Caenorhabditis elegans: one gene and its partner. The protein of the gene in region 1 interacts with the protein of each later gene in a biochemical or structural test. Each region holds a gene or a part of one and is shown in the gene's direction. Other genes may lie near its edges. The genes, in order: ifp-1 and ifa-1.

What was found.
Region 2: the proteins of ifp-1 (region 1) and ifa-1 form a complex in vitro, tested with the Caenorhabditis elegans proteins (one study listed by BioGRID).

Annotation. Positions count from the first base shown.
Region 1 is NC_003284.9:9,675,197-9,682,058, reverse strand, and holds ifp-1 (Intermediate filament protein ifp-1), read left to right. Parts: upstream 1-1,889; 5' UTR 1,890-1,892; coding exon 1,893-2,003; intron 2,004-2,069; coding exon 2,070-2,183; intron 2,184-2,657; coding exon 2,658-2,942; intron 2,943-3,430; coding exon 3,431-3,808; intron 3,809-3,853; coding exon 3,854-4,018; intron 4,019-4,065; coding exon 4,066-4,945; intron 4,946-5,233; coding exon 5,234-5,304; intron 5,305-5,353; coding exon 5,354-5,506; intron 5,507-5,704; coding exon 5,705-5,812; intron 5,813-5,901; coding exon 5,902-5,967; 3' UTR 5,968-6,186; downstream 6,187-6,862. UniProt on the Caenorhabditis elegans protein: Cytoplasmic intermediate filaments provide mechanical strength to cells. Not essential protein.
Region 2 is NC_003284.9:11,270,783-11,276,167, forward strand, and holds ifa-1 (Intermediate filament protein A), read left to right. Parts: upstream 1-2,014; coding exon 2,015-2,123; intron 2,124-2,487; coding exon 2,488-2,559; intron 2,560-2,607; coding exon 2,608-2,771; intron 2,772-2,818; coding exon 2,819-2,932; intron 2,933-2,980; coding exon 2,981-3,078; intron 3,079-3,154; coding exon 3,155-4,014; intron 4,015-4,061; coding exon 4,062-4,201; intron 4,202-4,250; coding exon 4,251-4,469; intron 4,470-4,522; coding exon 4,523-4,561; 3' UTR 4,562-4,700; downstream 4,701-5,385. UniProt on the Caenorhabditis elegans protein: Cytoplasmic intermediate filaments make up the structural component of the cytoskeleton providing mechanical strength to cells.

The DNA of each region.
Region 1 (6,862 bases):
ATGATTAAAAAAAACAAACAAATTTTTAAGATTTTAAATGATTTTTTGAAAAATGAAAAAATCTCAGTTTACCCCTAATTCCTATTTGAACTTCCGCCAATTGGATTTGTTCGATGGAGCGTACTTGCATTATTTTTTTATTAATTTATTTTATTTTTCTCATTATTTCACTGATTTTCTTAATTATTCCTGTATTTTTATAGTAAAGAGAACTGAAAAGCACGATAAATGCAAAATGTTTGTTAAAGCAATTTCCCCATTGACCGCACTCCACCTTTAAGTGTTTTAACCCGGAACTCATCCTATTTTTAATTGTAAATATGTTATTTTTCACTTTCCTAACACGAACAATAAAAAAACATTTGTAAAACAATAAAAAAACATTGATCACACTGAACACAAAAAAATTTCCGACAATTGTTTAGGAGCAAACGACATTTACCCAAGAAATGTGCGTACCAACTGGAAAGGCATTTGTACTCGTTGAGGAATACTAATTTTGTTCTTTCTTCCAGGCGTGTTTTTGATCTCAGAGCTCGAAGAGTGATGATGAACAAAACGAAAACCGGAAAAGAAGCAAGTGGGCGTCATAGTTGTCGCACTTTTTGAATATATTCAATACAAGAATACAGTAAAGAAAAAAGAAAGAAACAGGGAATTTTTTCCTTGCTGATTCTTTTAATAGAGAAGTCCTGAGCAGTTCAAGGATTCCTTATCAGTTATTTTGCGTAAAGTAACTATGATTCACAAATTACCAATAGAAAATGCAGTTTTCACATTGGAAAAACAAAAAAACAAAAGCTATTGAACATTAAAAAATCGGTACTTGTGTGTTTTATGTATGCCCTCATTTAAAATTTAAATTGAGCTTTCATTAATTTCTCCTTTCAATATAAACGTGGTACGCATCATTCTTCGTTGGGCTTAGAAATGGCTATTTTCTAAGCTTAAAATTAAAAAATATTCCACACGTTTTTATTTTTTAGACTTATGGAAGTATCATTAAAAATAGAAACAAATTTGAAAAAGGAGCATTTTGAATTCGAGGAGCTAAAGCGGCATAACTGTTTTTTTTTTGCGTGCGAAAAAATTTTCATTAGCAAATTTTTTGTAAAATTTATTCTTTGGCCAATTATACGGCTGAATGTGAAGATGAATTTGTTTTTAATAAATATATGGTTTCTACATGAGTTCTCTCAATTAACCAGGTAAGTTGATTATGTTTAAAACAAATCGGAAATGGGCTGAATTGAAGCCCAGAGCTTCAATTCAATAGGTTGGAGAAATTACTGAGTTTCTAAATAAAAAGTATTTTAACAAATGACTCAGTTTCTCGAACTTCCTGAAATGTAAAAAACATTATCCTGTAAATTAATATTTGCAACTTGCAATGAATCATTTCCACCTCCTACAACAATTACACCATTGTTAGTACAGTTTGATTGCTCCACATCGGTGCATCAGTCTCTCCCCCTCATCTCCATAGACCACACAAATGTCTTCTCCCTCTTGATTCATCTATCTCTCGCTTCAAATAGCTCTTTATTTTAATAGTGATAAGAAACGTGCTAAAGTACCGCCAACCGAGTGAAACATGCTCACTAGCATTCTTCACCTACTTTACTATCACAATGGCATGCCATTAAACATTTTCCAAGAGTCGATTCGGTTTCCTGTCATCACGACTGTGAAAATTCGCGGTTTTCACTCGTGCTCGTACACCTATTGCATTTTTTAATTCACCTTTTCAAGTTTTGATAAGAAGTTTTACGCACTCGATTATTTTCTGCTTATTCTGCAATTTTTTGTCCTTTCAAGTCGCACTTTTATAATTTTTCATTTTGCTTTTAGAATTTTCTTGCTTTCTGGTCTTATGGTTACTGTTTCAGCGCATGGATTCCGCTAACGCTAGGGATTGTCTACTACATCTGGCAAGAGCTAAGCTCTCTGAGCGACAAGACCTTGTTCAGCTCAACGATCAGTTTGTGGATATCATCGAACATGTGAGTTTGTGTTATTGCCTATCATCTCTTCTATGTACTGTAAAACAAAATATTTAATATTTTCAGGTCCACTATATGGAAGCTGAGCACACTGCTTTGGAACACGACTACAATTTGCTAAAAAGTGGAGTCCAGAGCGACAGTAGTGGAATTAATGAAATTTACAATGTTGAGATCAGGGTGAGTGTCAATTGTTGCAGCTGTCTTATTCACGCTTCCAGCATTCTTGTTCTTTGTGCGCTATCAGTTTTCACTATTTACTTTCTGTGTGGGCTGAAACCATCAGTTTCCCTCACACAAGTTTTAGCGGCGATGAACTTGTTTACTCGTTAAAAGAAACGAAGCCTACAGTTTTAATGACTTAAAAGTACATTGAAGTTGTGCTCTTTCGTAGAGTACGATAATTTCCTTTGCTTGCGTGTCGCGTTAACTACAAACAATAATCTTTACGATCGTTTGTTTCCGAAGAATTCATTTCTTTAATTATCATTAGAGAATAAAGGGAGTGGCAACTAGAAACGTGCAAGCCGCCTACTATTGATAGCAAACATACTATCATTCTGGTCAGCTGTAAAAAATGAAACTTCTGATTAAAAACAATTTGAAGTATACAATTAATTCATACGATGTATCAATATTATCATTGTTTTTCAGACTGTCAGATCGGGAATTGAAGAAATTAACCGAAGCCGGCACGAACTACTAAATGAGCAAACCCAGTTGTCCCATCAAGTCAAAGAAGCCGAACAACTTTGGAGACACACTGCAAAATCAGCTTTGGGGGTTCCCAAAGAGGTTGATGATGAGTTCCATAGAATCTGTCATATCAAGATGGAAGATTGTATCACTAAGAGAAGAATCAAGTATATGGAGGATAAGCTCAGACTGATCAAACAGAACAATGGAAGAATTTTTGAGCATATTAATTTGATGAGAATGGTGGGTTCGATTTTTTAAAAGACTGTTAATACATGCAAAAACAATAGAGGTTCAATTTGATAGATTTGGAAAAAAAACTCATAAGAACTTTTCGGATATCAGTTTTTTGGGATAGATTTAAATCACACTGGTATTTTGATTGTTGAAATATATTCAGTAGGTACATATATAAATTTTTTTTTTCAAAAACTTATTTTTTTATTTTTTCGAAATGATTTGTTTTCATTTCGCCCAACACGGAAATAATGATTGTAATGCTAAATATAATTTTGAGCCAAAAACTATCTGTTAAAAAAAAAAAACATACAAAAAACTTAGCTGGCTCAAGTTTTCTGTTTTTCAGTTAGTAGCGTGAATGTCATGAAAGACTTGCACTGCCTCTCAAAAAACGCGAGGTTCCTTGTGATAAGCTAAATTTTTTGTCAACACAGTTAAGAAGTTTGACTCATTATCTTATTCATTATCGACTGTGAATTCTCTATATTCAGAGAAAAGATCAAGCTGTCAGTCTGCAACAAGAATATCTTCTTCGCAAGAATGAGTTGTTGCACAGTATCCGAAATATGGAGGAAGACAACAAAAAGATTATCATGAATGAGCACAAATACTTTGTTCGTGATCGCAATGCGGATCGTCACGTCTTCCGCGATCAACTTCGCAAGGCAATTGCTGATATTCGTGCTGATTATGAGGCTAACAGATTGAGAAACGAAGAAGAAATTCGAATTCGCTTGGAAAGGGAAATCCATCGAATGAATACCACTATGCCAGGAGTAGTTTGCTATGACAAACTGAGAGAGGAGCTTTCGATTGTTAAGAACAATCTTTCTGGATTGCAGAAACAAGTTTCTGAAGTTGAAATCAGAGTGAGAATTTGAAATTATTTTCCATGATGATTGTGTAATTTTCAGAACAATTCTCTCACTCAACAAATTGAATTCTATCGTCTGGAAATTTCGGAAAATAACAAGCTTTTCGAGGATACTTTGGAATTCAAAATAAAGGAAATTGAGAAGATGAGAGAGCAATGCACTGCCATCAGTGTTGAATTGGAGAAACTTTGTGACTTAAACATTGTATGTTGTATTATTTTGTGTGTTTATTAAATTGTTAACGTTTTCAGGACTTGCAAAAGGAAATCGCAAAATATCGGGAACTTCTCGACAGATCTGGAGATCCTCGTGCAAATGCGCCAAGTACTCAAGTTATAGCAAGCGCGCTTAGTCGACAGAACTACAGCAGCATTTCTGACCACCATAGCCGAACTTCTTCTGGAATAGTTCAGCACACTGCTCATCACGCTGTGAGAGATTCCTCGTCGTCCAGAACTGGTACCACTATTCATGAGACCATCACTCACACGCCAATTCCAATTCCTGCTACACTTCCTGTTCAACCAATTCGTGAATATACTTATTCGAGGGACGCGAGCCCGATTCGTCCATCATATACTCCGTACCAGCAGGAGTCTCGTGCTGATAGCCGATCTTCTCTCAGGGAGAGAATTCAAATCGAGACTCTCCAAGGCACACTTCCGGTTCTGCCAAGCCATTCGGTTGAAACAATTCGTGCTTCAGATAACACCCGATTAGTGAGAGACCTTAGCGCGGGAGGTCAGATTAACACAACACAGATTAACAATCCATACGCGTCTCGTACTCCAACTTCATCGGTCAATGATAGGATTGCAAGCGAACGTCGTGATAGTGAAATTCGTCGCAACGATGCTTTACATCAACCTTATCCAATTGGTGGTGCCGTTCCTCGAGTTGAGCCTACAATTTTTAATGAACGTGCTCCCGGTTACACTCATATTAATAGCAACTTCCCGCTAATTACGCCAGTGACTGAAGGAGCTACTGTCCCCTCATACTACGATACTTTTAATCGGAACTCGAGCCAAAGAGGGCCACATCATTCGAGCTATCATGCAGCAACAGGCTCAGTGAGCAATAGCATCTCCACTACTCTACTCAATGAAGGATCAATTGAACATAGCAGTAGTGAGTGGAAGACGGCTTTTAATATTGACTGACAACACCTCGTCAAATGCTAAGCTTTGAGACGTTTTTAAGCTGTCGAAAACTATCGTATCATACCATTTTAGTTTTTTCCAGATTAGTTTGAAAAAAGAGTTACTGATAAGACAAACGTACACAACCACCACAAACGAATCGTAAAATAACGTTTACGATTAAAAGTTTACTGTTACGTGTATTATGTAACGACAGTTGAGAGAACTATCACGCTAGAAAAATATTTATAAAAAAATACAAAGAAACGCATTCCAGGTTCCGATAGTGTTGACGAGGACAACTTCCAGAGATTCACTAGATGGTACAAGGGGAGAGTGAAGATTTCGGTAACACTCTTTGCTTTTTAATATTATTAGGACTGAACAATTCTTACAGGATGTGACTGCAGATTTTGTTCAACTTGTAAATAGAAGCTCGAAAAAATCGGCAGACGTTGGTGGCTTCAAACTTATTCACGAGTTTGGAAACAAGAGCGTATATGTTGATCTTCCAGTTGGATTGATCCTTGCACCCAAGGATAGCTTGAAGGTTATGCTTTTTCTAGTGTAGTTTATCAGTTCTTATATAATAGCATTCAGGATCCTAGAATTCACAAATTCAAGTTGATTTGCTTTGAAAACAGTGTTAACTTGTAGAAAAAAAAAATTGTTTTTTTTCAAACGGCGCAAAACTGAATACTACTTCTATGTCACCGATAAACTAGAAACTGTAAATTATTTTTTACAGATCTACGCTCGTGGAGCAACTCATGAAAGAGGAGCAGTTATTGCTGAAATTGACTTCTTCGATACCACCATCCATACCAATACATCAATCAGAAACACGAATAATGAGGTAAATAGTCTTTGATTTACAATTGTAAACACAACTGATTGACATCTGGCCTCTTGCCAATAACTTTGATTACTCCAATTATATTTCAGGTGAAATCGTGGTTTGTTTACACGAGCAACACTGAAATCGGAGATGCAGACCATCATCATCATTGATACATTACTAATGCCAAATTTCTGATAACATGATAATTCTAACAACAAATATATATTTTATTTTCTCTTGTTTTCATTTTTCACACTTTTTATCAAGAAACTTCTACTCGTTGCCCCTATTTTTTTCCACTCACTTCTTGAAAAAGGAAATAATTCTTTAATTCAATCCCAGTAATTCGTATTTCTTTCATATTCTGAATTTAAAATAAACCTATTACTCAAAAAAAGCTCACTTGCCCCGATTCAATTATAAACATCTGCTCTGTTTCGAAACTCTGCTAAATGTAATTTTTTTTTATTCAAAAATTAGAGATTAAAATCGAAATTATTTAAAGAGAAGAAGCAGTTTTCAGCTTTTGTTTTTTTTGAAAATCAGTTTTGATGGAAGTTTGAATTCTATTTTTTCTTCACAAAATTCCAGCGGTTTTTTTTTTCAAAAATAAACGGTTAAGCTACAGAGTATTTTCCACTAGTTCATCTGGCAATACACTTCAACTTCCAAGTAAAAATATTGCTTTCCCGTGCGGTCAATTATTGCTAAACCAATTTTATTCGTTGGACTGTTTTGAGTGACCCAAGAAAATAATGTTTTAAAAACTGTTCCAAGTACAAAAAAGTACCTCAGATGAGATAAAAGTTGATTATTATCATTTAAAAGTGAACCGTATCAAGTTTAAATTTAAAATGATTCACTCATTAATTAACGGGGGTGTTTGTGTGGGTTGAGTAAAGGCATAGACAACTCATATCATAACTCATTATCGGCGCGCCTGTCTTCCACTTACCCTCTTTTTCAAACATTGTCACCTAACCCGATCCTCTACCATTAGGATATTCACATCTGGCACTGCTAAGTGACCAATTCATATCCCTTTCCTCTTTTTTTCTTTGTTTT
Region 2 (5,385 bases), 1.6 Mb from region 1:
GGAATTGCGAGATTTTGAGTTCTAAAAACAACTCAAACTGATGAAATGTGCGTCGACTTTTTTGTACTGCAACCATCGCAGTGTCCCCGACTTTCACACGATCTCTCGCTCATTTTAGACCGGTTGACAGTAGATGATCCTCAGTAATTATGAAGTTTCACCTGCCACGGGGCCGCCGTTTTCTATGCATTTGCTACTGCCTCATCTCTTTGCCGCTGCCATTTATTTTTGTTTACTGTACACATCATTCTGTTCCATTTTAACCCCTCTCCCTTTTACTATGTACTTTTCGAAAATTGTTCAATAGCCGAGAGCCCTGGATGTTTGAGCCGAGATATCTTTTTTATGTACACCGCCATGCTGGAACGCAGAGAAAACTGTTTATCTTCCCATTTTTCCAGAAACTCGTTCAAACGGATACTTCTCTCAGTGAGAAGCGGTACCTAACCAATCAACATTTCAAAAATGATGGAGATTACCAGAGAAAGTGAGTTTCTTCATTTTAACTACTTAAATTATTCCGATGACTTTCCAGGAGGTGAGTTGCGGAATGTTTGCCTTTGTATTTCGCGGTAAGGTGCTTACCATAGACTAACAAATCTAACTGATCAGCGATTGAAAATTCAAAACTTTGAAAAAATAACATTACAGGCATGCGTTTTTTAAAGAAAAAAGATTAATGAAACAGTGAGATAAGACGGAGTGCAAGATGAACAAGCACATCGGTAAATAAGAGGCTCGTTTCTTGTGCCTTGTCGCAATTTTTTATTGAGATATCTTTCCGATTGTCATTGAAGCATCACATTTATCCGCATAGGCTTATCTTATACTAGTGAATATTTTTGCAACTAGATCCTACTACTTTTTTATATAAAAATGTACACTACTACTCGTCCGGGTAAGTAACTGGCTGAAAATTGCATTCACTTCGGCAAAATAAATTATCTAACAGGAGTTTATTTACAAAAACTTGGTAGATCATTTCTGAATGTATATATAGTTTAAAAAACATCACTTTTTTTTAGACCTGAGCAATTTAAATACTCTTGCTAATATAAAACACCGTGTTTGCTGAAAAAATACAGTGTTTTACATAGTTAAAGCTCAATCCGTTGCTTGAATTTCATTTAAACGAATCCATATTCAATCTTGAAAGTGACAGAAGTAGAATAGGAGTGTTCCCAGATTTAATCGCTTTTGTGAAAACCAGACAACTAACACATATTCTCGCAACTTATATATGTAGGTGTTTCTAAACTTTTTCAAACATATTTGCACCGTTATTCCATTTGAACTAGTCATCAATCAATAAACTACTCGTGAGTACTCAAAGTTAATTCAAGGCTAATTTTCTTCTCACTTCAAATTTTTGAACAATTTTGTACAAACATATATTCCGAGGCGTTGTCTAGTTTTTGTCTCCTCTTCCACAAAAGTGCGTAGGCACGGTAGCAAATTGAAATGAATCACCTCAACCCAAAAAAATCTCAAATGTCATTTCGCACTTTAGCAAAGCCTCGAAACGTATGAATTTATGCAAAAACGCATGTCCAATAGGCGAAAAAAGTAGAATCGAGAGGAATCGTAACGACGTAAGGGTTGACTGAGTTGAGGATGAGATGATTTTTGGAGGACGCGCCCATCCCTCACACCTATTCTTTTTTCCGCATTCGCGCCAGATATCAAGAAGCCGCCGTTCCGTCCTCACTTCACACCCATTTTAAAGTGATTCTTGACGCCTCCCTTTGCAAAAAAATTCCAAACACCGACTTGAATCAATATAAATATACATAGGCAAACAACTATGATCTCATTTCCTTTCGTGGAAAAGGGCAATAATAATATTTGATTGAGTTTTCTATTTCTCCTCATAGATTTTCATAGGTTACTCATAGGTTTTTTTCTCTTTATACAACAGTCTAGAATACTGAAATATATTAATTTTGCATTGCCTGTTTTGTTCTGCCGCCATGTATAAAAAGAGTTGAGGAACAAAAAATTTCATTTTCTGACTATGGAAGGTTATATTGTTTCTCTTCCATCTTCGCGACGATCAAGCGCTTCTAGCGCTCGAAGCGAGCAAAGTTCCACACGAACTGTCAATTACGAAGTGATTGAAAAGAGTAAGCCTTTCTTGTGCCCTCAATTTCAACTAACTCAAAAAATTGCAATTTTCGTTTAATCCCTTTTGTCTACATGCTATTATCATTAGTGTGGGAGGAAGCTGCGGTTGGTAGCAATGAAGGAGGAGGAGTAGAAAATGTTGAATAAAAAGTGAGGAGCAGTGCAAGAAATTTGACGCCCACCTAGTTTGCGCACCGTTGAGACTCCGCTTTTGTCTCTACAGTCAGCCTCCGACTAATTCCTTGGTCACACATTACGGCAGTCAGGGGTTGCCATACAACTCACAACCTCATTTTGAAATTTCGAAGCTGCCGAGTACAGTCGGCCCTTTTCACTTTCACAATAGAAATTTACGATTTGCAGCGATGTCTTTCACTTCCACAACACCTTCAGCTAGAGCTCCGCTCGGAGGGCGTACAACCGGAAACGTTACTTGTAAGTTTATTGTTGTCTGTGCAAAACATTTAAATCAACATATTCCAGCCCAAGATCGTATGCTCAAAATTGTGACCGAGATGCGCTCAGGTGCTGGATCCGGCTTGTCGCCATTTGGACAAAATGCTGCATCAACCATCCGTGACTCTCGTGAACGTGAGAAGAAAGAAATGAGCGATTTGAACGATCGACTTGCTAGCTACATCGAAAAGGTGTGTAATAGGAATAAGATGGACCACACCCAATAGTTGTTTTTTAGGTCCGTTTCCTAGAAGCCCAGAATAGAAAATTGGCAGCCGATCTTGACGCACTTCGTTCCAAATGGGGAAAAGACACGCACAACATTCGTAATATGTATGAGGGAGAACTTGTGGTAGGAAAATACAGAAAGGAAACTTTTGGTTAGAAAACTATATTATAGGATGCTCAAAAGCTGATTGATGAAACCAATAAGCAACGCAAGGATATGGAAGGTCAACTCAAGAAGATGCAAGATGAACTCGCTGAGATGCGCAGAAAGTACGAACATATGTTTTGAAAATTATGAACAGCATATTACCGTTATTATACTTTTTCTACAAAATGTATTTTTCAGATTGGAAGATGCCACCAAGGGCCGTGAACAGGATCGCGCTAAGATCGACGCACTTCTAGTAACCCTTTCTAATCTTGAAGCTGAAATTAGCCTTCTGAAACGTCGTATTGCTCAGCTTGAGGATGAGGTGAAGCGGATCAAGCAAGAGAATCAGCGTTTGCTTTCTGAGCTTCAAAGAGCCCGTACCGACTTGGATCAAGAAACCCTCAATCGTATTGACTACCAAAACCAAGTTCAAACTCTTCTTGAGGAGATTGATTTCTTGCGTCGTGTCCATGACAATGAGATCAAGGAGCTTCAAACTTTGGCTTCTCGTGATACTACTCCAGAAAACCGCGAGTTCTTCAAGAACGAACTCTCCTCGGCTATTCGTGACATCCGTGAGGAATATGACCAAGTCAACAACGTTCACCGTAATGACATGGAATCCTGGTATCGTCTTAAGGTCCAAGAGATCCAAACGCAGTCTGCCAGACAGAACATGGAACAAGGGTATGCCAAAGAAGAAGTCAAAAGACTCCGCACCCAACTCAGCGATTTGCGTGGAAAGCTCGCTGATCTTGAAAGCCGCAACTCTCTCCTCGAGAAACAAATTCAAGAGCTCAACTACCAATTGGAAGATGATCAGAGATCTTATGAAGCAGCCCTCAACGACAGAGATTCCCAAATCCGCAAAATGCGTGAGGAATGCCAAGCCCTTATGGTCGAATTGCAAATGCTCCTGGATACCAAACAAACTTTGGATGCCGAAATCGCCATCTACAGAAAGATGCTCGAAGGAGAAGAGAACCGTGCTGGACTCAAGCAACTTGTCGAACAGGTTGTCAAGACCCATGCTATCACACAGGAAACCGATACCGGTAGCAGAAAGACAATTTTTTCCATTAAAACATACATCCTTTTTCAGAGACGATGAGAGTCGTCAAGGGCGAAACTGCATCCCGTCAATCGTTCCAGCGTTCTGCAAAGGGAAATGTTTCTATCCACGAGGCATCGCCGGATGGAAAGTTCATCGTCCTCCAGAACACACATCGTGCCAAGGACGAGGTAGGAACTTGAATCACAACAGTTTCAAATATTTTTTGTTCTCTTTCAGGCTATCGGTGAGTGGAAGTTGAAGAGACGTATCGACGGAAAACGTGAGAATGTCTACACGCTTCCAAGAGACTTTGTCCTTCGTGCCGGAAAGACCCTCAAAATCTTCGCCCGTAACCAAGGAGTTGCCTCACCACCAGATCAATTGGTCTATGATGCTGAAGACTCGTTCGGAAGCGGAAACAACGTCCAAACCATCCTCTTCAACAAAGAAGGAGAGGTGAGATCAACAATTAAATGTCATTATATTTACAACATTGATATTAATTTCAGGAACGTGCTACCCACATCCAACGCCAGAGCACTGCCTAATCAGGCGACTTCCCAACAATTAACTAGATATTGTGACAATTTCTTGTTGAAAATCCCAAAATCTTCTTCCCATTTTGTAACTTTCATGCTGATTTCTGCGCATTTATTTGACCTTATTTCAATAAATCATTTATCATTCAAACATCAAAAAAAAATTTGATCACAATGTATTTGCGTAGGTTATTTTCATAGAACAGATGATGTAAAATTCTCAAAATCGTCGGAATTCGCCCACCTGAAATGGAAGCGTATGTTTTTGGTTACTAATCAATAGAGCTGAACGAAATGCCGTAAATAATTGTATATCGGCGAGATGAGCCGACGTCGACATCTAAAACTCGCGTTACTGAGAAGTTTAAAGTGTTGTCCTTCTTAAAATTCCAGTTGCACGAATATAATGTTTTAAATTTTTAAATATAATTTTGAAGTAGGAGCGTATGCCAAACAAGGGAAAATATTTTGAAACTATGGTCACTGCGCTTGATTCGAGAAAATGAAGCTACTACAAAACTGTCTAGGGTTTTAACAAAATATTTTTCCGCTGGAATTGTTACCAAATACTTTTTCAGCGTTCCATCTAAAAGCACATCTATTGCATTTTTAAATGAGCTTTAAATTTGCACTGAGCACTACAGTTTGCTATATTATTTCAATAAAAAAATAGAAAGCGATTTTGAGATATGTATGCTTTTTGTGTTCTTCTGACTGTCAGAAATTAATATTCGTTATTCGTTGTACAGCGGTTACCAAAAAACTTGTGACAACTAGACCAGTGATAAACGAATTGATTCGGCGATTTCTGTAAATGCTCCATTAAGAAAATT